3 linked regions of the Canis lupus familiaris genome follow. The protein of the gene in region 3 interacts with the protein of the main gene of each other region in a pairwise test. Links are inferred from orthologs where the notes say so. Each region holds a gene or a part of one and is shown on either strand. Other genes may lie near its edges.

The links. The genes of interacting proteins can lie anywhere in the genome.
Region 1: the proteins of GOPC (region 3) and HCK interact in binary tests that used the Homo sapiens proteins (3 or more experiments, as listed by UniProt). The two-hybrid records come from large-scale screens. The link is inferred for Canis lupus familiaris from reciprocal best matches to the Homo sapiens genes GOPC and HCK.
Region 2: the proteins of GOPC (region 3) and RNF183 interact in binary tests that used the Homo sapiens proteins (3 or more experiments, as listed by UniProt). The two-hybrid records come from large-scale screens. The link is inferred for Canis lupus familiaris from reciprocal best matches to the Homo sapiens genes GOPC and RNF183.

The regions. Positions count from the first base shown.
Region 1 is NC_049245.1:21,970,818-21,978,943, forward strand, and holds the start of HCK (tyrosine-protein kinase HCK), read left to right. Parts: upstream 1-3,561; 5' UTR 3,562-3,847; intron 3,848-8,126. UniProt on the Homo sapiens protein: Non-receptor tyrosine-protein kinase found in hematopoietic cells that transmits signals from cell surface receptors and plays an important role in the regulation of innate immune responses, including neutrophil, monocyte, macrophage and mast cell functions, phagocytosis, cell survival and proliferation, cell adhesion and migration.
Region 2 is NC_049232.1:68,074,968-68,082,931, reverse strand, and holds the start of RNF183 (E3 ubiquitin-protein ligase RNF183), read left to right. Parts: upstream 1-3,399; 5' UTR 3,400-3,772; intron 3,773-5,028; exon of another isoform or gene 5,029-5,159; intron 5,160-7,712; 5' UTR 7,713-7,755; coding exon 7,756-7,790; intron 7,791-7,964. UniProt on the Homo sapiens protein: Acts as an E3 ubiquitin ligase catalyzing the covalent attachment of ubiquitin moieties onto substrate proteins. Triggers apoptosis in response to prolonged ER stress by mediating the polyubiquitination and subsequent proteasomal degradation of BCL2L1.
Region 3 is NC_049222.1:58,358,552-58,366,020, forward strand, and holds part of GOPC (Golgi-associated PDZ and coiled-coil motif-containing protein), read right to left. Parts: intron 6,134-7,469; exon of another isoform or gene 6,096-6,133; coding exon 5,931-6,095; exon of another isoform or gene 5,819-5,930; coding exon of another isoform or gene 5,766-5,818; intron 4,451-5,765; coding exon 4,427-4,450; intron 1,578-4,426; coding exon 1,402-1,577; intron 231-1,401; coding exon 65-230; intron 1-64. Other genes in the region: DCBLD1 (discoidin, CUB and LCCL domain-containing protein 1), read left to right, coding at 5,766-5,818.

The DNA of each region.
Region 1 (8,126 bases), on a different chromosome or scaffold from region 3:
GATAAACACTATTATTATTTCCACTTGATGAGATGAGAAAACTAAGACCCTGAGGGGTGATTTGATTTGCTCAAGATCAAGCTTCACTAGTGGCAGTGTCATAGCCAGTGAGGCTTATCTGAGGTGTGATTATTGCTAATTGATTTGCTCACTATCCCTCAGTTGATAAATGGCTGTGCCAAGGTTTGAACTCCAGACTGGCTCCAAAGATGCAGCATTTAGCACTACTTCTTGTGGACAGCTATGTTCTGCATGTTGAATGAGTGAATGAATAGATAAAATGTTTGCCCCCCGCCCCAGTACTGGTAAGGCAATGTTTTAGGATAAAATTTGTAATTGTATAAATGTTCTTTGATGCGAATAAGAGTTAGATGGAAAATATGTTTTAATTAAAAAGAATAATAATACCAAATTATCAAATTATTGGTATTATATAGTGATATATATTATAGATATTATGTATATTATATAGTGTTATTGATATTGTGTATAGTGATACATCTATACTATGAAATACTATTCTGCAGTGAAAGGGAACAAAATACTGCAACATGTAACATGGAAAATCTCAAAAGCAATATGTAAGTGAAAGGAGACAGACATGAAAGAAACACACTGTGTAATTGTATTTATATAAAATTATAAAAAAAACAAAGCCAATTTATAATGACAAAAAGCCAAACACTGGTTATCTAAGGCAATGGAGCAGGGAGAAATTGACTGCAATAGGGTATAAGGGAATTCTTTGGAGTGCTAGAAATGTTCTATATCTTTTTTTTTTAATTTTATTTATTTATTCATGAGAGACAGAGAGAGAGAGAGAGAGGCAGAGGGAGAAGCAGGCTCCATGCAGGGAGCCCGACGTGGGACTCGATCCCAGGTCTCCAGGATCACGCCCTGGGCTGAAGGCAGCACCAAACCGCTGAGCCACCTGGGCTGCCCGAAATGTTCTATATCTTGATTAGGGTGGGGTTACACAGGTGTATCCCTTTACCAAAACTCATCAAGCTGAATATTTTAATAGTGCATTTTATGTATAAAGCTGTGCCTCAGTAAAGTTGATAGGAGCTTTGGAAACACATGCACAGACTTTTATTGCAGCATTACTTCAATAGCAAAAAAAAGGGAGATGGAATTGGCTGTTAACAGGAGAATGTTTCAACTGTGGTCCTTTGCCATCAGAATGACAAACTTGTGGAAGAAGGTGTAGCCGATGCTAATGATGACCCTTTCGAGTCTCCAGGCATGTATCTCTCTTCCTGGAGGCTCTCTCTTGTGATTGGAGCATTCATGGAGCAGGCTAGGAGTGCTGAAGGATTAGTACCTCCTGGGATCATCCCTCATCCAACTCTGCCAGGAGTTGGTACATAAACGCCCCAGCTCTTTCAATTTCCAGGAAGGATAACAATGAGTTGGGAATAATACACTGTCTCCGGAGTTCCCTCTCCAGCAGGAGTGAATTCCAGGAGCCCACAGTTATAACTTGGTTGACAATGCTCTCTTTATTCCCTGTCTTGTCTTATCCACCTACTCCCCTACCAGTGTTTTCTGCATCTCCCAAATAACCACTTTCACTTGAATCCATGTCTAGGGTCTGCTTCTGGGGAACTCAAATTAAAGACTAATGGATGAGGGGTGCCTGGGTGACTCAATCAGTTGTGCATCTGCCTTTGGCTCAGGTCATGATTCTAGGGTCCTAGGATCAAGTCCCACGTTGGGCTCTCTGCTCAGCTAGGAGTCTGTTTCTTCCTCTCCCTCTGCCCCTCCTCCATCTCTTGCTTTCTCTCTCTCAAGTAAATAAATAAAATCCTTTTTTTTTTTTAAAAAAAAAAAGGACTAATGGATGGTACCAAGAGTCAATCATGATGTGGGGAAATGTGGAAGGGGCTTGTAGGGATGGGGTAACTGGGTGATGGACATTAAGGAGAGCATGTGATATAATGAGCACTGGGTATTATATAAGACCAATCACTGAACTCTACCTCTGAAACTAACACACTATACGTTAATTAATTGAATTTAAATTTTCTTAAATGTGGGGAAATGTTAGGAGAATTTTGGCAGCAGCCATTCTGCAAGCATTCATCATTCTTGGCAAAGCAAGTCTTTACAAAATCCTTACACAGGTCTTTAGGGCAAAGTTGCACGCCATCTAGGTGTCCATAGCTATAGGAATTGACAAACTGTGGAGGGTGTAGACGATGACCTAGCAGGAATGCTGGTCATCATCCTCCCATGCCCAGGACAGTCCCCCCACCCCATAACAAAGAATTATGCAGCCCAAATGTCAACAGTACTGGAGTTGAGAAACCCTGTGTAGCCCAGCACTCAGCACAGTATTGCTGAATGAATGAATGAATGAATGAGTGAATGAAGAGATGACGGTGGCCTGAAATGGCTGGTAACAGAGGGAATACAGAAAAGCTGTAAAATTCTTACACATCTTGTGTGCTTGGCAGACTTTAGTGCGACAAAGCTCTTTTTCCAGAAGCAGTTGTGCTCTGCCCTTGCCTGGTGCTGGGCACATCTCATTCATGTGGGGCCTCCAGGTGCCCTCCAGCTGGGCATCCTGCCTCCTCAGTTTTCAAAGTCCTCTGAGCTTCCCAGCTGCCGGAAACCGCCAAGAATGAGCCAGGGTGGTGCCTGCGGGTGAGAAACTTTGCTTGCCGTTTGAATAGCGCGGGGCCTGTGGAGCGGAAACCGCTGACCACAGAAGGACCAGGAAGGCCTGGGACACGGTGTGGGGGAGGGGCCTGGGCTCCAAGAGTGGATTGGAGTGTAGAGAAAACCGATCAGAATGCTTGGGGCGGGGGATTAGAATCCTGCGAGAGTGCCGAGGTAAAGGTTTAGGATCCTTGTGGGTCACGTTAGAATCCTTTGATGAGGGGTTAAAGTCCTTGAGGGTAGGGTTGGAATTTTTGGATGGATCGGATTGGAATCCGAGGGGGGATTAAAATCCTTTGGAAACAAGATTGGGATTATTCGGGAGCAGGATTAGAATCCCTGGGGTTAGGGTTATGAATTTGGAGGGCTGGGTCAGAATCCTTTGAAGAGAAGGGATAAAATCCTTCCGTTGGCCGGATTAGAATCCTTGGGGGACAGGATTAGAAATCTCCTGTGGGTGAGGCTAAAAAATCCTTCAAATGTGAAATTCAAAATCATTTGGGGGCAAAACGAGGATCTTGGCAGGAGACGGTGTTGCGGTTCTTGGGAGGACGAGTTTAATCCCTTTGGCGACCACATTAAGGTTTGGGGAGGCGGGGATTATAATGCATTAGGTTAAGTGCTTGGAAGAGGGCGTGGGGTTAGGATCTTTGGGGGACGGATTAAAATTCTTAGGGGCAGGTTTATTATCCTTCCGGGCCAGGGTTAGGATCCTTAGGGGCAGGGTTGGAAGCCTCTGATGGGCGGCGTTTAAAAAAAAAAAAAAAAATCCTTGAGCGGTGGGATTAGGGTGCTGGGAGGAAGGGCCTGGGATGAGAGTCCACGCTGTGGGGTCAGAGTCTTCAGGGGCGGGGTTAGGATACACGGGGGTGGGGTTAGCATCGCTCAGGGCGCGGCTAAGGAGCCCAGATGGCCTGTGGGTGCCACCGAGTCCCCGGTCCCAGCCCGAGCGCACCGCTGAGGCCGAGGCGAGCAGGAGGGGGCGCCGGGGGTTCAGCGCCAGGGGAGCCCGAGAAGCCGCGCGGCGCCCAAGCCCCTCAGAGGCCGCCCTTTGCCTTTTCTCCAAAGTCAGCCCGTCTCCCTTCGGGTGCGGGCGCCCCGGGAGTCCGGGGGCTGCTGAGCTGGGGGGGCGTTCGAGCTGCGAAGATCCGGGCTGCCCGCAGGAGGAGGAGCGGGCGCCCAGGTGAGTGGCGCGCGGACGGCGGAAGCGGGAGGGTCTCCGCGGCGGGGGACGGTGGGGGGAGCCCAGCGGGGGGGCAGGGCCGGCTGGAGGGCGGCAGGAAGGGGCGGTCCGGGAGCGGTGGACGCGCGGAGGGACCGGGGGCCCGCGACGAGGGCCGGGCTGGCCGGGCTGCGTGCGAGCCTGGAGGAGCCCTAGGGGAGAGGAGCCCCGGCCCCCGACGGACTTGGGTCCAGCCTCCGCTCCTCTGAGCCGTCCAGGTTCCCCTTCTGCAAAAGAAAAAAACGAGAAGGAAGGGATGAGGCTCTACCGACCGAGAAGGGAAGGCCCTTACGGCCCCTGGTGGGGGTGGGTGACGGGTCACGGCAGGTTGGCGGCGGGTTGGCAGCCCGTGGTGGGGAGGGGGACAGCTGGCCGGAGGCGTGCGGTGCGAACCACACCCAGGCGGGCCTGCAGCTGGGCCCACTCTGCGCTCCCTCCTCCTCCCGCGCTGGGCCCTGATCCCCAGCAGGTCTGGGTCAAACCTCAAAACCTCCTGGACAGACCACAGGGTGTCTCCCCGCCTCCTTTCCGCTTCGGTGAGACCTTGGGCCGAGTCGTGCTCCCTTTCCGAATTCCAGTTTTCTCCTCCGTCAGATAGGGCTAGATTCTTTCTCCAAGGCTACAGTGAGCTGGAGTCTGTGGGGGTCATGCAAGGGGAAGTGGGATTCTGGGAGCAACCTGCCTGTTGACCTTTAGCAAGGGATTTGGTCTTCCTAGGCCTCTGCTTTTCCACCTATAGGATAGGGATATTAATAATAATGACTCCCTCCCAGGGTCGTTTTGAAGGTTAGGTTAAGTTATTCATGGAAAGCTCTTGGAGCGTTAGGTCACAGGTATAGGTGCTTAGTACTCGTGAACTATTGTCGCTATTACCGTCTAGCCAGTGCTTCCCAAATGTTAGCAGTACACCTGGGAGGCTTGTTAAAACACAGATTTCTGGGCCCTGACCCCAGAGTTTCTGATTCAGTAGGTCTGGCTGGGGAATCTGAGAATTTACATTCCCAGGTGATGCTGCTGTTGCTGGTCCAGGGACCACACTTTGAGAACCATTGCTGTAGCCTTTGGCCAGCACAGAGAAAGACTTCAATAGATATTGGTTCCTTTATCCCATGGATTTCTCTTCACTATCCTTTTTTTTTTTTGGGGGGGGGGGGAGGATATTAAAATAAAGAAAAGTGAAAGAAATAATATAGTAAATATCCCATGAACCCACCACCCAGAATTAAATGTTTCCCTCTGGCTTTTTAAAAAATAAAAGTCTTAAAAGTAACAGATAATACTGAAGCCTCTCCACTTGTCTCTCTCAGTCCTGTTTTTCTCTCTGCCCAGAGGCAACCAGTCATGAAATATAGTCCTTTCCAGTCTGTGCCTTTATGAATTTATTACATAGATATGGATGCATAAATAATACATAGAATTGTTTTTCTGTGTTTTAAAGATCTCCAAAAACGCTATCCAGCTGTGAGATTCTTCTGCAATATCGTTTTTCTATTCCTTGCCTTATCATTAAGTTGTCAAGGTCTAGCCAGGATGAGAAACAAAGGCATGCATAGTTCATTCTTTCTCAGGGCAGTATTTCTGCAAGTGACCATCCTATCTTATTTCTCATCCCCCAGTTGTTGGACATTCAGATGTGTAGCAAGGCTTTTACTACAATAAACTATTCTGCTGGGACCATCCTGGATGTATGGCCCTGGTGAAGGTGGGAGGGTGCAGGTGTTTCTTGGGAAAACACTGAGGGCTGGATGGGTCTCCAGAGGGGGCATCTGTGAACCTCTCTTGTGTGCAAGGAGGACTGAGACCTGAAAGGGTCACCCAGGTAGTCTGGATCAGAGACGACAGAGAGTCTGGCTCTGCTGACCTCCCAGGCCTCCTGTTCCAGGTCTGTTTTCCACTGCAGGAGAGCAAAGATCTTCATTTGCCTGACACTTGGTAAAAACTCAAACAATGGAAGAATGACTCCTTTTTAAAGTTTTTTGGGGCAGCCCAGGGTGGCTCAGTGGTTTAGCGCTGCCTTCAGCCCGGGCCGTGATCCTGGAGACCTGGGATCGGGTCCCATGTCAGGCTCCCTGCATGGAGCCTGCTTCTCCCTCTGCCTGTGTCTCTGCCTCTCTCTCTCTCTCTCTCTCTCTGTGTGTGTGTCTCATGAATAAATAAATAAAATCTTTTTAAAAAAGTTTTTTGGATAACAGATATTTTAGTTTACTTTTGTGTAGTCTTCTTTTCTGTGTGCTTTTTATTTAACGTAATCAGTAAACTGCTGTGGTATACAATTTTCATCCTACTTCTTTGCTTAGCCCTATATTATAAACATTTATCTATGTCATTAAAATCTCCTAGGATTTTTTTAATTGTCAATTTATTTTTTAAGTTTATTTATGTATTTAAGTAATCTTTACACCCAACGTGGGGCTCGAACTCATGACCCTGAGATCAAGAGCTGCATGATCCTCCAACTGAGCCAGCCAGGTGCCCCAAAATATCCTTGGACATTTTTTTTAAGATTTTATTTATTTATTTATTCATGAGACACACAGAGAGAGAGCCAGAGACATAGGCAGAGGGAGAAGCAGACTCCATGCAGGGAGCCCAATGTTGGACTTGATCCCAGGTCTCCAGGATTACACCCTGAGCTGCAGGCACACGCTCAACCGCTGAGCCACTCAGGTGTCCCTATCCTTGGATATTCTTAATGGCTACATATTATTCCACTGTTTGGATGCACTATAATTTAACCATCCTAGGAAAGCACTTTTATGTAGTTTTCAATTTGTAAATTTTTTTGAGTTGAAATTGGCATAGCATTATAAATGTAGCCATCTTAATTCAGTGGCATTTAGTACATTCACAGAGTTGCGCAACCACCACCTCTGTATGGTCCTCAAATAGTTTCATCTCGAAGCACTGATCCCATTAAAGCAATCACTCCCATTCCAGCCCAAAGTTCACCCGAGTTATAGCATGTATTGGTATTTCAGTTCTTTTTATGGCTGGATAATATTTCATTGTATGTATATACCACAATTTGCTTATGTATTCATCTGTAGATGGAAATTTGGGTTGTTTCCACCTTCTGGCTATTATGAATAGTGCCACTGTAAGCATGTGCCTACAGGTATTTGTTTGAGAACCTGTTTTCAATTTCTTAGGTATATACCTAGAAATGGAATCACTGAGTCGTACAGGAATTCTATGTTTAACTTTTTGAGGAATTGCCAGATTGTTTTGCACCATTTTACATTCCCATTAGCCATGTAGAAGGATTCCAATTTCTCCACATCTTTCCCAACGCTTGTTTTCCTTTTTTAAAAAATTACTATCATTATAGTAATCTAGTGGGTATGGGAAGCATGGACCTTTATCTCACCCCCATCAGGCTGCTCGCTGGGGGCCCTTACCCCTGAGAGTGAGGAGAAAATTGTCTGCAGCCAGATCTTGCACTTTAAACTCTTCTAGAAAGTAAGGGCAAAGACGTGTCAGTCTCCTAAACCACTGTATCATTAACACATAGTAGGTGCCTGGCACTACTAGTAGGGCCTCAGAGAATCAGGCTCTCTGCAGGAGCCTATGTCTCTGCCTCTCTGTGTGTCTCTCGTGAATAAATAAAATCTTTAAAAAAAAAAAGAGAGAGAAATCCAGATTGGTGGGGGTTCTTTTGATATTGAAAGTTGGCAACTAATTAAAAAGAATCACAACACGGAGCCAACTGAAATATACCTGTGTGTTGAAGTATCTCAGGCAAGGGAGATACTTCCTACATTCCTACATTCCAAGTTTCTCTGAGGCTCATACGACTGAGCCATCCAGGCACCCTGGATTTCTGTCTTTCAAAAAACCGAGTTGGCAATAGTGAGACTAGAGACTCTGTCTCTCATCCTCTCTGCTATTACTCATGGCAGCACTGGTTAAGCCACGTAGGGCTTACCCTGCTCACTATCCCTGAGCTGTCGGTTTGCACCACCCTCCCTTGGATCACTTTCCTCATGTGGGTGTCCCTATAGGCCCCTATAGCCATTTGACTTTTCAAGTCTTTCCCCCCAATTTTGCCTCCCTTTTTATAAAAAAGGAATATCAGGTCCAGAGAGGTGAGTAGCTTTCCCGAAGTTACACAGCATGTTAGTGGTACAATCTCTCTTAGCCTCCATCTTTCTAAACAACCCCTACTGTACTTTGATCCCCACCTCATTTTTCCAGTTTCCTCCATCCCAGGGCTGGGAGTTTTAGTGTACCTCCAGGGACA
Region 2 (7,964 bases), on a different chromosome or scaffold from region 3:
GTTTGATTAATTTGCCAACGCAGCTGGGGCGCCTGGGTGGCTCAGTGGGTTAAGCATCTGCCTTAGGCTTAGCTCATGATCCCATGGTCCCAGGATGGAGGATAGAGCCCCCTGCTCAGCAGGGATCCTGTTTCTCCCTCTCCCTCTGCCTGCTGTTTCCCCTGCTCATGTTTTCTCTCTCAAATAAATAAAAACCTTATTTATTAATTTTTTTTTTTTGCTAATATGGCTCACAGAACTCAGAAACCATTCACTTACCCTTCCCAGCTTATTATAAAGGATATAATGAAGGCTACAGACGAACAGCCGATGGGAGAGATGCGAAGGGCAGGCAGGGCATGTGGGCCGGGGCGTGCGGCTTCTCGGCCCTGTCCAAGCCTGCCATCCTCCCAGCACCGCCGCACTTCATCAGTCCAGAAGCTCTCTGAACCCCATCCTTTTCAGTTTTTTTTTTTTTTTTTTCCTTTTCAGTTTTTATGGAGGCCTCACTACAGCACAATTGATTAGATTATGGCCATTGGTGATTGAATTCAATCTCTAGCCCCTCTTTCCTCCCGGGGGAGGCATTCTTCGGGCTGGATTGAAAGTTCCAACCCTGTCATCAAAGGCTGGTTGGCCTGGCAACGAGCCCCCCTCCTTAAGGTCCCTTGGGGGCTTTCCAAAAGTTGCCACATTCACATAACAAAAGACACCTTGGTTGTTCTTGTCCCCTAGGAAACCCCAAAGGTTTTAGGAGCTCGGTGCCTGGAATAGAATGAAGACCAAATAGATATTTCTTGTTATAAATCTCATCATCACATATATCTTTTGGGTCCTTCTGGGGAACTATATTATTAGGTCAAGGTGTATGAACTTCTACATGGTGTGCATGAGTGCTGCCAAACTAGAAAGCGTAGCTTCCAAACTCTCAAATACAAACCAGATCCTTTGTGCTGAATCACTGTCTTGAAGGTCCACTAACCTTAGTTAACCAGCAGCGACACTGAAAAGCAGAGAATCCCAGAGCTGACAGGGACTCTCCGGCCGTCCCTCTGTCTCTAGCTCAGAAAGAGGAGAGTTGCTTCAAGAGATCTCCCTCAGGGACGCAAGTCCACAGCATCGTTTTCACACAATTCTAGAATGATCTAAATCCTGCAATCATTTTGACATTTATTCTTCCGACTAATATTTTTTTTTTAAGATTTTATGTGTTTATTCATGAGAGACAGAGAGAGAGAGAGAGAGAGAGAGAAGCAGAGGGAGAAGCAGGCTCCACGCAGGGAGCCCAACGTGGGACTCGATCCCGGGTCTCCAGGATCAGGCCCTGGACCAAAGGTGGCGCTAAACCGCTGAGCCACCCAGGCTGCCCCCCCCCCCCCCCGACTAATATTTCTATATTGAAAATGAAAGGATAAGATCAATAGGGGAACGGTTAAGTACTATATGGCTCATTCAATGAAATAGGATACAACCATTCCAAAACTGAAAAAACTCTGTGTACTAGCACAGAATGGTTTCTCAGGTACCCTGTTCAGTGAAAAAAGCAAGGTGCACAACACTGTATACCACGTGTACATTTGTGTAAAGAGGAGGAAAAGAAACACACATTTTGCCATAGGAGTTCTGTTTGTGTAGCCATATAACCTTTTTGAAAAAATACATAAGAAGCTGACAGTACAATACCTTAATTTTCAGGGAAATGAGGTGGCTGGGAGAACATTTTCATTGCAAAATCAAACCATTCACTGAATGTATTATCTATGCTTCTTTCTTTCTTTCTTTCTTTCTTTCTTTCTTTCTTTCTTTCTTTCTTTCTTTCTTTCTTTCTTTCTTTCAGATTTTATTTACTCATGAGAGACAGAGAGAGAGAGGCAGAGACACAGGCAGAGGGAGAAGCAGGCTCCATGCAGGGAGCCTGACGTGGGACTTGATCCCTGGACCCCGGGGTCACACCCTGAGCCCAAGGCAGATGCTCAACCGCTGAGCCACCCAGGTGTCCCAAAAGTAAAATCTTTTAAAAAAATAAAATAATTTTAAAACCAGAAAATGACGGGACTAGGGCAATTGATCATACCTCCAAATCCATTTATTTAACTTGTTTATTCTCCAAACCCCATTTAAAAGGTCAGTGAAGGAATAAAAGAAGAGGGTCCTGAGTACAGAGAATGTGAGAGGGAACCGGAGATGGGCTGCGTGGACACATTTTGGGGAGAGGGTCCAGGCAGTGGCCCAATTTCAGAGTCAGACTTGCACTCGCAGCTATTAAGTGGTTCTCATGAGAACCTGGGCAAATAAATCCCTTACTTGCTTTGAGCTTCGGATTCCTTATCCACGGGAGAGCAGGGAAAAGACCCTGACTTTCAGGATTTCATATTGTGGTAGGCACGGTGCTTCCTGGGATTGCTGGGAGCACTCACTCTTACAGATCAGAAGCACACAGAAAACTGCCACCATTACTTTTAATAATAGTGCTGAGTCCTCCCCCGCCCCCATCAGACTGACAGATATTAAAATAAGTGTCTTTATTTATTTAGAGAAGACACGTGTGCCAGTGGGAGAGGGGCAGAGGTAGAGAGAATCCTATAAGCAGGCTCCACACAGCGTGCCCTCCAATGCACTCCTGCTGATGCAGGCTCCATCCTACAACCCTGAGATCACCACCTGAGCCAAAATCAAGAGTTGGAGGGGACTCAGTGGTTGAGGGTCTGCCTTCAGCTCAGGGCATGATCATGGGATCATGCCCTGAGCTGGGACATGGGGATCGAGTCCCGCATCGGGCTCTGTAGGGAGCCTGCTTCTCCCTCTGCCTGTGTCTCTGCCTCTCTCTCTTTCTGTGTCTCTCATGAATAGATAAATAAAACCTTTAAAAAAAAATCAAGAGTTGGATACCCAACTGACTGAGCCACCCAGGCGCCCCTAAAATAAATGTCTTTAAAAATCAGGGTCTTATTTAAATTCGAGTTTCTCTCATTGTAAACGAGGTTGAGCAATTACGTGAATATTTGGTAACTTGCCTGATCATATGATGATAACAGTTTTATTAACATTGGCTGCATGCTACCATGTACCAGGCACTGTGCCGTGATCCCTACAAGTGCTATTTCATTTAATCTGTAGATCAAGATAAAATCATGATGCCAGTTTTCAAGGGAGGGAACCAAAGCTTAGAGAAGTCAATTTGCTCATCTCCATTACTAGGGAGTAGAGTCTGGATTCTGAGCAAGGACTTGACTCTGACCCCAATGACCCACTTGACTGACCCAGGCTCTTCATGCTTGTGCTTAAAGAACTCTCCCCTGATTGTTTTTCTGTTGGATGATTTGCCTTTTTCGGAATATTTTGCAAGAGCTCTCTATATTTTGGTGGTGGGGGCTCACGGTAGGGAGGGGCTGTCTGGGCTGAGGGCAGGAAGTGGCTTCAGAGATGCCCTGCCTTCCATCAGAGTAAGGCTGGCTGTGAGCCTAGGCGGTGCAGTCAGACATGGCAAGAAACCAACCCAATACAGAACCGAGGTCTGCAAGGATGAGGGACTTTGACCCCCTTAGAGAAAAAGCAAGAGTGACTCACAGGAGGAAGAGAAAAACCAAAGTTCCCGGGCTGTCCCCCATGAGCATAGACAGTCCAAAGTCATCAGAAGGAAGAGGGAAACAGAGCTGGCCGGGAGCTGCCACAACACCCATGCAAATGAGACCCGCCCACAGCTGCCTGGAAACCAGGCCCAAAAGAAGTGAGAGCGCAGAGCACATGCTGCAGGGCCACCTTGGGGACTGGACGAGGAGACTCTGAGAAGCAGGTGAGGAGCCACAGGGGGTCATGGAGGGACGGGTGGGACTCACTGGAGTCCTGAGAGGCACTGCTGTCGGCCAACATGAATACTGGCCTGGGAGGCAGGGCTCCTGGGAGCAGCTTTCCAGCCCAGTCGTTCTCTAGCTGTGAAGCCCTAAGCAAAGCCACTTCACATTCTGAACCGTGGTGTCCCCATCTATAAAATGGGTGTGCATCTATCATGCTGTGTACCAAGCACCTGCTGTGCTTTGCTGGGCTCCTTACAGATATTAACACTTCCTCACAGCAAGCCTTTAAGGTGGGATTATTTGCCTATTTTTCTTTTTTTTTTTTTTTAAGATTTATTTATTTATTTATTCATGATAGACAGAGAGAGAGAGGCAGAGACACAGGAGGAGGGAGAAGCAGGCTCCATGCCGGGAGCCCGATGCGGGACTCGATCCCAGGACTCCAGGATCGTGCCCTGGGCCAAAGGCAGGCGCTAAACCGCTGAGCCACCCAGGGATCCCTATTTGCCTATTTTTCAAAGAAAAATGAAGCTCAGAGAGCATAAACCATTTCTCTAAGACCACAGAGCAGATAAAAGTCTGGTTCCAAAGCCCACTTCCCACTCCCTATCCTGCTTCCTTTACAGGGTGGTTTCAAAGAATCAAATGGCTTTGGGGCACCTGACTGGCTCAGTTGGTAAAGCATGTGACTCTTGATCTCGGGGTTGTGCGTTCAAGCCCCACACTGGGCGTGCAGATTACTTAAAAAATAACAACAACATAAATTAAATACATAAATAATTGGGGAAAAACCCCTTCCAAACCAAATGGCCTTATGCAGATGGAAAAATAATTGTAAAAGGCAATCATAAAATGTAGATGTGAGTTGCCTCACTTAGATCCTACCCAGGACCAGGGCCCTTTTTTGTAAACTGTGAGGTCCTGTAAAAATGCTAGCTCTTGGGGCACCTGGGAGGCTCAGTCAGTTGAGCCACGGACTCGTGGTTTCAGCTCAGGTCACGATCTTAGGGTCATGTGATCGAGCCCTGCGATGGACTCCATGCTCAGCGGGGAGTCTGCTTGGGACTCTCTCTTTCTCTCCCTCTGCCCCTCCTCCCTGCTCTCTCTCTTTCTTTCTCTAATAAATAAATCTTTTAAAAAAATGCTAGTTCCTCATCTCTCTCCTCTTGAGGGTAAAAACTTTGAGGGGATGCTACAAACAATATTTGGGTGACTTGCTCACAGACCCAAGTGATCCCTTTGGGGTGGTGTCTAGGACGTACTGTTGCTGAGATGGCTTCGGGGGTGACTGGTGGGAGGATACATGGCCAGAGTCCCTCCGGCGGACGCTGGACTCTGACTTGCTGCTCCTGAAACAGCAGTGGACGTCTGAGGGGACCCTGGCAGGTAAGGGCCCAGGTGCTGAGGCAAAACAGTGATTATTCCTCCTCTTGAATGGCCTTTTCCAGCCTTGGCCATGGAACTTCAGAAAATGTAGGTCTGCTTTTGGGGAAAGGGAGATGTTTAAGGGTAGTAATACGAGTTTACTGTAATATTGTAAAGTTAGAATTTTCAGATAAGAGAATTTAAACCAACCAACCAAAGCCCACCTGTTCTCTATGCCCAGAGATAACCACTGTGGACATTTTGATGTTTGTTTTTCCAGGCATGTTTCCATTGCACACATATACTGGATAATTGAATAATATTATGCTACGGTTTTATTACTGGTTCTTTTTGCTTAATGACATATCACAAACATATTTCCACATTAATAGATATTTTATCACATCATTTATTAAAAAGATTTATTTACTGGGGAGAGAGGGAAAGGGAGGGCCGATGGGAGAAGGAGAGAGACTCTCCAGCAGATTCCACACTGAGCATGGAGCCCTACGTGGGGCTCGATCTCACAACCCTGAGATCATGACCTGAGCCAAAACCAAGAGTTGGGTGCTCAGCTAACCGTGCCACCCGGACACCCCTTATCACATCATTTTAAAGGCTGCAGAATGTCTCTTTATGTATCTGGAGCAGAATATCTTTAGTTCATGTCTCACTCTTGAATGAGTATGTACTTTTCCAGACTTGTCCATTAGAGACGTGCTTCTACGAGCGTCCCTACAATCAAGCCTTTGCACAGGTCCTTGGTTATTACCATGGGACAGATTTCCAGTGGGGAAACTGCTGGATCAAGGTTATTACCTTTCAAGGCTTTTAGTGAAGTACTAAAAGGTCTGCTTCAGACACTCTCTGGAATTCGGAGCTCCTCAGAACTGAACGCAGAAACCTCTTTCATGACTTCAAAGCCAACCTTGATCCTTCCTCTCTCTCAAATCCATTTGCAGGGATACCGGCAACCACTTCATATATGATCTTTGCCGGGTGCCAGGCTCCACGAGCTTTACCCTCAGACAGACTACTTTTCCTTTTCAGAAGACCTTGAGGCACAGGTTAAGCAACTTAACTGGGATCCTGCCCCCAATAGAAGCAGCACATCTGGGGGCATGAGCCTCAACATGGCTTTTTGGGAAGTGCGTTTGACTTAATCTCCAGAGATGGTTTTTATTCCATCCCTTTGATCTGCTCTGCCATAGCCTGGTCTAAGTCAAGCACCACCAGCCCAGCCTGAATGATCAAGTCCCTAATGGTCTTTTGTTTCCACTCTGTTCTTTTTAGTCTGTTCTCTGCTCTGAAGCTGGAATGGTGTTTTGATTTTATTATTATTAAATATTTTATTTTTAAGTAATCTCTACACCCAACAGGGGGCCCAAACCCACAACCCAGAGATCAAGAGCCATGCACTCTACCGACTGATCCAGCCAGGCACCCCTGGAAAGGTGTTTTTTTTGTTTTTAAAGAATTTATTTATTTATTCATGAGAGACACACAGAGAGAGGCAGAGACACAGGCAGAGGGAGAAGCACGCTCTCCATGGGGAGCCCGATGTGGGACAAGATCCCAGGACCCTTGGATCATGCCCTGAGCCAAAGGCAGATGCTCAACCGCTGAGCTACCCAGGTACCCCTAGAATGGTGTTTTTAAAATGGAAAGAAAAAAAAAAATGGAAAGAAGAAGGCACCTGGGTGGCTCAATCGGTTGAGCATCTGTCTTTGGCTCAGGTCATGATCCCAGGGTCCTGGGACCGAGTCCCATGTCGGGCTCCAGGCTCAGCGTGGACTCTGCTTCTCCCTTTGCCCCTCCCCCTGTGGTGCTTGCACTCTCTCTCTCTGAAATAAACAAAAAAATTGTTTAAAAAAATTAAAAACACAATGGAAAGAGGATGAGGCCCTGTCCCCCACCCCATACTCACCCCTTGAATTAAATCCAGCTGTGATCCCGGCTCCCAGGGCTGGCCTCTCCCAGGCTGGCTCTTCCCTGAGCCACTTTCCTGCTCCTGCTCCTCCCACTACACCTCAGGCTTCTTTCACTTCCTGCATCTGGCAGAGCCTTTTTTTCACCTTGGGGCTTTGGTACATGCTGTTCCCTTGGCCGGGAATGTCCTTCCTCCACGCTGCGTGGCTGGTTCCTTGTCGTCCTACAGACTCAGCTTTCAGACCACCTGTCTGCCGCAACCTTGCCTGCTGGTTTCCTATGGAGCCCGTTCCCTAAGTCCATGTCCCTCTCTGCCCTTTATAGCATGTGCATTAGATTTTTTTTTTTTTTTTTGTGATAGTCACAGAGAGAGAGAGAGAGAATGAGGCAGAGACACAGGCAGAGGGAGAAGCAGGCTCCATGCACCGGGAGCCCGACATGGGATTCGATCCCGGGTCTCCAGGATCGCGCCCTGGGCCAAAGGCAGGCGCCAAACCGCTGCGCCACCCAGGGATCCCTGCATTAGATTATATATTTATCGCCCACTGCTCATTAGAGGTCTTTTCCCCTCATTGTACTCTAAATGTCATGAGGTCAAAGCCATGCCTCTCTGGGTCACCATTATTTACCTGGTGCCTCGCACAGCTCCTGACACGCAGTGGGTACTCGACAACTTACTAATTGTGGGATGGATGCATGGTCCACAGAAGAAGGCCTTCGTAGGTAAGGATCCTCAGCAGACTCCCAGCTCAGGCCAGAGGAGTTCCCTCCTCCTTTTGCCTACCTTCCTTTCCTCTTCCCTACGTGAGCAGTGACAGGAGTCTAGGAGAAAACCAGGAAGCCGTGGCCATGAGAGCATAAGCAGGTTTTGCATCTGGTTTCAACTCAGTCAGTGCC
Region 3 (7,469 bases):
AAGGACTTCTGACTAAAGGAAGAAGGAAGAGGTTGAGTATGAAACAGTAACAAAACAAACATACGTGGCCTGGAGGGGCTTGCATTGGTCGTTTCAGGTCATTTCGTCCTCTACAGGCTCTGATCACAGTTTTGTGACGATGCAAATGTATTTCAGCTTCCAACTGGTTCCAAAGCTTATCGTGAGCGGGTCCCTTCATATCTCGCCCTAGTAATTGTATTTGTTGGACCCTTTATATTGAGAAAACAGTTAATTCAGTTAGTTTTTCATTATTATAATTTTTATTACAGAGAGAACTCCGAAGAATTACTGGATACCAGTAGCTTTTGCATAAACCTCAACAGAAAACCTATTTCTGTTAGTAATAAAACCTGTTAGTAATTAATACATTTAGGACCTCCTGATGTTTCTCAGATTTGTAACATACCAAAAGTCTGAAAAGAACAGATATCTTCAAGAGAAAACTAGTTTTTTTTTTAAAAAAAAGAATGAATGAAACCTTTTCTAACCATATACTTAATTCAAATACATCTAAAAAATTTTTGAGACTGATGTCAATGAACATGTCTTGCACACAATCAGGATAGGTCAACAAACTCAGGCACTATTGAATATTAGTCTTTACAGGAACCTAACAGTACAAAAACATTTTTTTAAAAGACAGTTTCTTTTTAAAAATTACTGTTTTAAATATGGCAAAAGTTACTAGAAAATGTGCACTTCAACATGATATAAATTATTTTTATTTGCTTCACATCAGTTCTTAATGTGCTGTGAATAAGTAAAAAAATATTTATCAAAAGTAATAAATCACCAAATTTTGTGATTATAAAAAATTAATACAAGGAGAGCACCATATTATTATGATAAAGTCACTGTCATTCCAAAGTGTTTTGGAGAGTCAAGAAAGATTACATTTCAATGATCACAGAAAGAATTCCTTAAGAAAGGCTATACATGTGAACATCATCTTTTATGGTTTCAAGGCAGGAAGTGGCTGAAAGGTGCAGATCTAGAGTTACTAGCATGTCAGAGTAAGTTCCTATCAGTGTGTGTGTTTGTGTATGTGTAAACCAGAAATACTTATGTAGTATGGCTAAATAAATCTACAATATATAATGCTATCAATATTAACAGTAAGACAGAGAGAGAGAGTGAGCCAGAGACACAGGCAGAGGGAGAAGCAAGCTCCATGAAGGAAGGCTGACGCAGGAACTCGATCCTGGGTCTCCAGGATCACGCCTTGGGCTGAAGGCGGTGCTAAACCGCTGAGCCACCCTGGCTGCCCTATAAAATAACTCTTAAGATAAAGATTAATGTTTCATTTACCATAAGAGGTAAGAGTCAACCTCACTAAATATCTAGCTACTTAAGAATACAAGGCACTCATTTTTTACACACCTTCCTGCCAGTTCCTTATCCAAGTACTTGGCAGCCAGTCTTGCCCCATAAACTTCAGCCTGGAGAACAGCTATATGTCTACGAAGGGCTTCATTCTCTTTTCTCAACAACTTCACTTCAGCTTCAAGTTGAGCTTCTTTCATTTTTTCTTTTTTGTTTGCTTCCAGCTCTCTCTCCTATTTAAAACACAAAAACAAAAACAAAAACAAAACCCACGCACAATGTAATGAAAATACTTTTTTAAGGCTTTTTAGCAACATACCATGTTTCTCAAAATACATAAAAGCGCACAGTCTGTTACAATACCAACAATGAAAGCATATGATAAAAGTTACCATTTCTATAAAATGGAGCATACAAAGATTTGGATCCAGTTCTTTTTAACTAGTACCAGAAGGTGTTGGGACCACTTCCACATAAGATAATTTCATGCCTTGGGGTACTCTGACACTGAGGATACTAAAATAATTAGTATTTTCTAAGCTTATGTCATCATACACTAATAGGAGTGGTTGCAATGAATAACTGAATCTTCTCCCTATTTATTTTCTAAAAATGACTCAAGAAACTAGACTAAAATAAAAAAAAAATCACTCTGGTGGCTGTATCCAAACACTTAATTAACTTTAAAGCAATAATTCTATAAACAAGTCAAAATTCTTCACTTACATAGATTCCATGGTTAATTTACCTTAGAGGACTACCAGAAACTTAAACTGCTTAAATTAGAACAGATACTCTAATTTTTTTTTAAAGAATGTTTGATGGTAATGGAAAAATGCTGGTAACAAACGTACTGAAAAATTTATACATTAAAAAATTTCTCTGCATGACCATATCTATGGTACAGATTATCACTGATTTTGGGGATGTGATTCATCTATCCCTATGTCAAAGTGAATGAAGTAAAATAAATGTTTGTGGAGGAAAACAGGGCCCTCCCTACCTGCCTTCTAGGAGGTAGGATGGACATCCATTTTTAATTCTCATAAAAGAATGCTCTACTTGGTAGAGAGTCTATATATGTGAATTACAGGTGTTAGCTAGAGTATAAAACCTCAAGATCTTTGCCATCCAATTTTTATCACAAGCTTACATATGAGAAATAATGTTCAATTTACCTTAAAAGTATAAAGTACAATATGTCTACTCCTACAACTCAGGGGTGACCAATGTAAATGCCTTCAGGGACCCAAGCACAAAACAGACCAATACAAGACAAAGTCGAGTGGAAAATGGAAGGTACAAAATCCCTGCCTAAAGGCAGTCAAACTCAAATACACAAAAGCTCTGTGGCCAAATAAAACTCTTCCAAGAGTTGAATAAGGGCCCTGATAGATATTTTAAGTGTTGTTTTTGGATTAACAAAACACTGTAAACTTCCATTTATTCTGAGTAGAAATGTTTTTACTGCCTTATAGAACTGCTTTTACCGATTTACTGATAAACAGAATCTATAAATCCTGTGTAAATGTGGTTGTATCTGTTGATGAGATGTGGAAGAAACTGTTCACCCTGTCCCCTTTGTGAGACTTAAATAAAGGTCTTGCTCAGCACCAGAAAAAAATGCTTCTCTTGAGCAAACGACAAATGATACTGTTTCTATTTGTATGGGTACTGATTATTGTAATTATTTCCCTTTTTATTCTGGGTAGTAAGCTGAGAAACAAATTCAAACAAACCTCTAACAATTCTGGAATATACTTTGGTACTAATCTAATGTCTGCTTTGGTCTACTGTTTTCTCAATAGTATATCAATAAATGATACACTAAAACATCAATATATGACATATTCAAATATAAGGCAGTGAGTACCACAGTCTTAAACACAAAAAAATAATATACAAGCTAAAATGAGTCATTACCAAATGGTAGATATATTTACTGCCTCTTTGATTACTGTTTTTCAAGAATCTGAAGAATAATCTAGAATCCTCCTTTTACAACTTTAGAATTATTAAAATTGCAATTTATTTCAGAGCATATTTCTTGAAAGGCAAGAATCAGTTCCAAAAAAACTCCACAGTTTAGATAACATGAACAATAAGCTTTCTTATGACATTTACTGAAGTTAATGCTATTTGTTTCAGAAAAAAAGTTCCAGAAGACCAAGTATTCTTTGGTTTATGGGCTAAATAAACTTTACATTGATATTTGTCTATGTACAATTGCCCTGATAACCTATTTATACAGTATTTATGGAATTTACAAAACACATATTAAGTCACCACTTTGCTTTCATGATTCAAACACCTAATGATTCTGACAAACTGTCAGGCCTGAAAATAACATTCGCAAACATGAATAGGACTAAGAAAACTGAAGTTAATCTTTTTAGTTTTTAAAGAAAAAAAATATGAATCTTTAGTTAGCCCATTTATTAGGTAATAAGCAAGAAGCTCATTTTGTATTTAGAGAGCCAAACAGTGTATTTTCAAAAGAAATAAAGCCATCAGACAAACTGGAACCTGATTAGGTTAGCATAGTGAGGAAAATATTAAGAATTTATACATTGTTATTTTCTAAAATAAGTTCTGGCAAAAAGTTTCAAAATTCAGTTGTTTCAAAGGCCACACAATTATTCCAAGACTGCTAAAAAGTTGTGACACATGCAGAAGATGAATACGAAACCAACATGCACATTCTTTCTCTGGGGATAAGTTCAAATAGAAAAAGAGAAAAAAGCTAGGTGTTCTTAATATATCTTCAAAATACTCAAGTGGGAAAACCAATTGCTCTTTTGAAGTAGAGGTTTCAACAAGTTACAAGGCTTAAAAGTTGTCAAAAATGGATGGGCTCTGTAAATAATGGTTATAAATCACAAACAAAAGAAAAATCTTTCACAACGTGTACTGAGAAAAGAGCAATGGGCCACCAACTGAACTTTTCAGGTACTGGAAGATTAAAAAACTATCATCATGAACATCACATCCAAATACAAAGTGACAACATATAATATGCAAATAAGACAATAAGAACACTTCAGCGTAACGTATTAAAGCCAAACAGAAACAACATACTTACCAGCTCCTCCACAGAGGGGACAGACTTAAGATATAAGAAAAAAGTTTGATAATTAGAAAAATATCAAACAAATGAATTTATCTAGTGGTATAATCATTATAAGGAAAACTCCCATACGTTGAATATCATTTGGGTAAAGTTCATTAGAACAAATATATTTGCAAATCCATAACCTACAGTAACTACACAGTGTTAGATTAAAACTTTTTGTTTTACCAAATTAGTCAGCTCACCTGGTTCAGTGCCTTCTACTACAGCACCCTGCTTCAGATCTAACATTAAAACTTCAAGTAAACTCTTTTCTAGTGAAAATGTATACACTGTTTCTCAACGTAAACATCAAATATCCCAAAAAAGCAGTGAGAAATCTGACTCATTTCAGTTAAAGAGAACAAGGTTACTAACTTAGATTCATAGAATTTCTGAATTTAAAAGATTTAAGGAGAATGGAAATATTCATTTAAATAAATTCTAACAAGTAAAATTTAAAAATGTATGACTATCATCATCCTCATTTCATTTCCTGCCTCTCCCAAGCTATATCTATCTTACTGCTGTGTCCCCTATGGTCAACCAAGTGTCTGGCACATACTTGCACACTTAACAAGTACGAGATTAAGCTGAAATGAGACTTAAAAAATTTTTCTACTTATATTAAGAGGGCAAAGGTTACTTATGGAAAATGTATATATAATACATTTATATTATACAAACATTACAAAATGTTCAATGGCAGAAAAAAATGCTCATAAGAGCAATAGGAAAAAATATGCCAGTGGTTGGCACCCAATTCCATTTTCAACTCCAGTTTCACAAGAGGTGGCCACGTGACCAACTAAGAGGCTGAAATGCAAGTTGGGATAGCCAATGAGATGGCTAACTTGACGGGCAAAAATTGTTGAGGAGGATTTCATGAAAAATTCTTTAGAACACTAATGCAGCCTGGAAGCATCCTTTTGCCCTTTTCTTAGATTCTTCCTTCTTTCTGCCTAGAATAAAGAGATCCTAAGGATGGAAACCATGAGCTAAAAATGGCGAACACAACAACAAAAAGCATATTGGATACTTAGTATCTATAGAGCCATCACATAAGCTCTGTGCTGCCTATTTCAGGGCTTGAAAGAAAATAATTTGTACTATTCAAGAATATTCCCAGTGTTCTCTGGACTTGTTATATGCAGATGAACTTAATCCTAACTCACCCAACAGGGCAAAAAACTGTTTACACGTTATAATTACAAATATCTTTTAAATATTTTTACACAGATATTTTCAAATAGGAAAAAAATCCTATTCTAAGTATCAACTGCTTATTGATATTGTCACTTCTCACCTCTAGGTGCTGAGACTGTGGATGATCATGAAGACCTTTACATTTCCTGCGTTTTCTAAATTTCCCACACTTAAGCACATATTACCTTCTATATTCAAAAGCCTCATTAAAAACTGTCCTCTTCATCCTCTAAAATACATGTAAGTATATGTTACCTTCTAAACTACTTACCAGTTTTGCCTTAATGGTACCAGAGTCAACACTCTGACCAGTTTTAGCATGGAGCTGAAGCTGGATAGAGTGCAGCTGTAAAAGCTGATCGTGGACTTCTTTCTCCAACACAACTTTCTCTGCCTGTGTCTCTGTCAGTTCAGATTTCAGATCCACCAACTGTGCCTTATAAAGCAACAATAAAAAACATCAAGTAAGCTTAATTTTCTTTATTTTGACTCTAGTAATTATTCAAAGATGACACAGACTGTGTTTAAAATGAATAGATGAACACCAGCCTGAATAGATGAATTGACAACTCTTAAGACATCCAACTATACAGTCATAAATCCAATAGCACAGGTAAGATACTTGAGTGGCAAGAGAACCAACTCTTCCATAAACCATATCTTTAAAAAAAAAATGTTTATTTATAATCTCTACACCCAATGTGGGGCTCATACTCAAAACCCTAAGACCAAGAGTCGCATGCTTTTCCGACTGAGCCAGCTAAGCACCTCCATAAAACAATATCTTCTAATAACACAGAATGCTACTTCCATTTTACTTTGCTTACTTGAAGAGGGCTTTTCATTGTTTTACCTTTACCTACAAAGTTTAGGAAAATATAAAGATTGGGATGGCTCATCATCCTTAGAGATAACATGTGCTACAGTGGTCCATTAACATTAATGGTACATTAAAGGAGAGGCCAGTAAGTGGCCACCCCAGAGAACACTAACCTCTATCAACCAACCCACTATCTAGTAATTATTTTAGGTGCAAAGGTGGGAGCCACTAAGGTCATAATGGGCCTAAATATCAGAAGTCAACTGTAAGCTACAGTTAACTGTTACAGCACAGAAGAACAACTCCTCAGAACTGCTTACCCATTCAAGTTGAAGTTTTTTTCACATTGGTGTGCTTTACAATTGTGCACAAGATGTGTGTCTCTTGTGAATCTGGTCTTCCTAACTGGCCAGCAGGTTAAAGCTCAAGAAAAGGCCTGAGTTTTCTATTTAATTCAACATAATTGTACTAAGTATCAAGGGGTTCAGAACAATGCAACTCAATGAGAAAAGAATTATGTAAAATATGTTTAAAATTATAGTTAATTACTTAGGTCTTAGAGAAGCTTTCTTATCAACTGAGGTGATATAAATGCAAGCCAACCAAAGAAAAATGTGTCAAGTTACAGAGATACTGAGAATTGGTCATCTTAAGGAATTCAAAGTGAACAACAGTTTAAAAAAGGTTAGGGAGGGAAAGAGAGTTTAGAAGTGCTTTGCAGTTAAATGACAAGGACAAAATATAAATAGTAAAGCAGATATTTATAGTAAAGCAGTCTAGAGATGGAAAGAAGACTAGCAGAGGCAGAGAGAAACCAGATGCAACTTAGGTAAATTCTCTGGGTACAGCAACCAAAGGGCTGAAATACATCTCTACCTCCCAACTGCATCAATCAATGTAGTACATAAAAGATGTTCAATAAATATCTTTTTTTTTTAAGATTTTTTTTGACAGAGAGAGAGCAAGCACAAGCAAGGGGAGTGGCAGGCA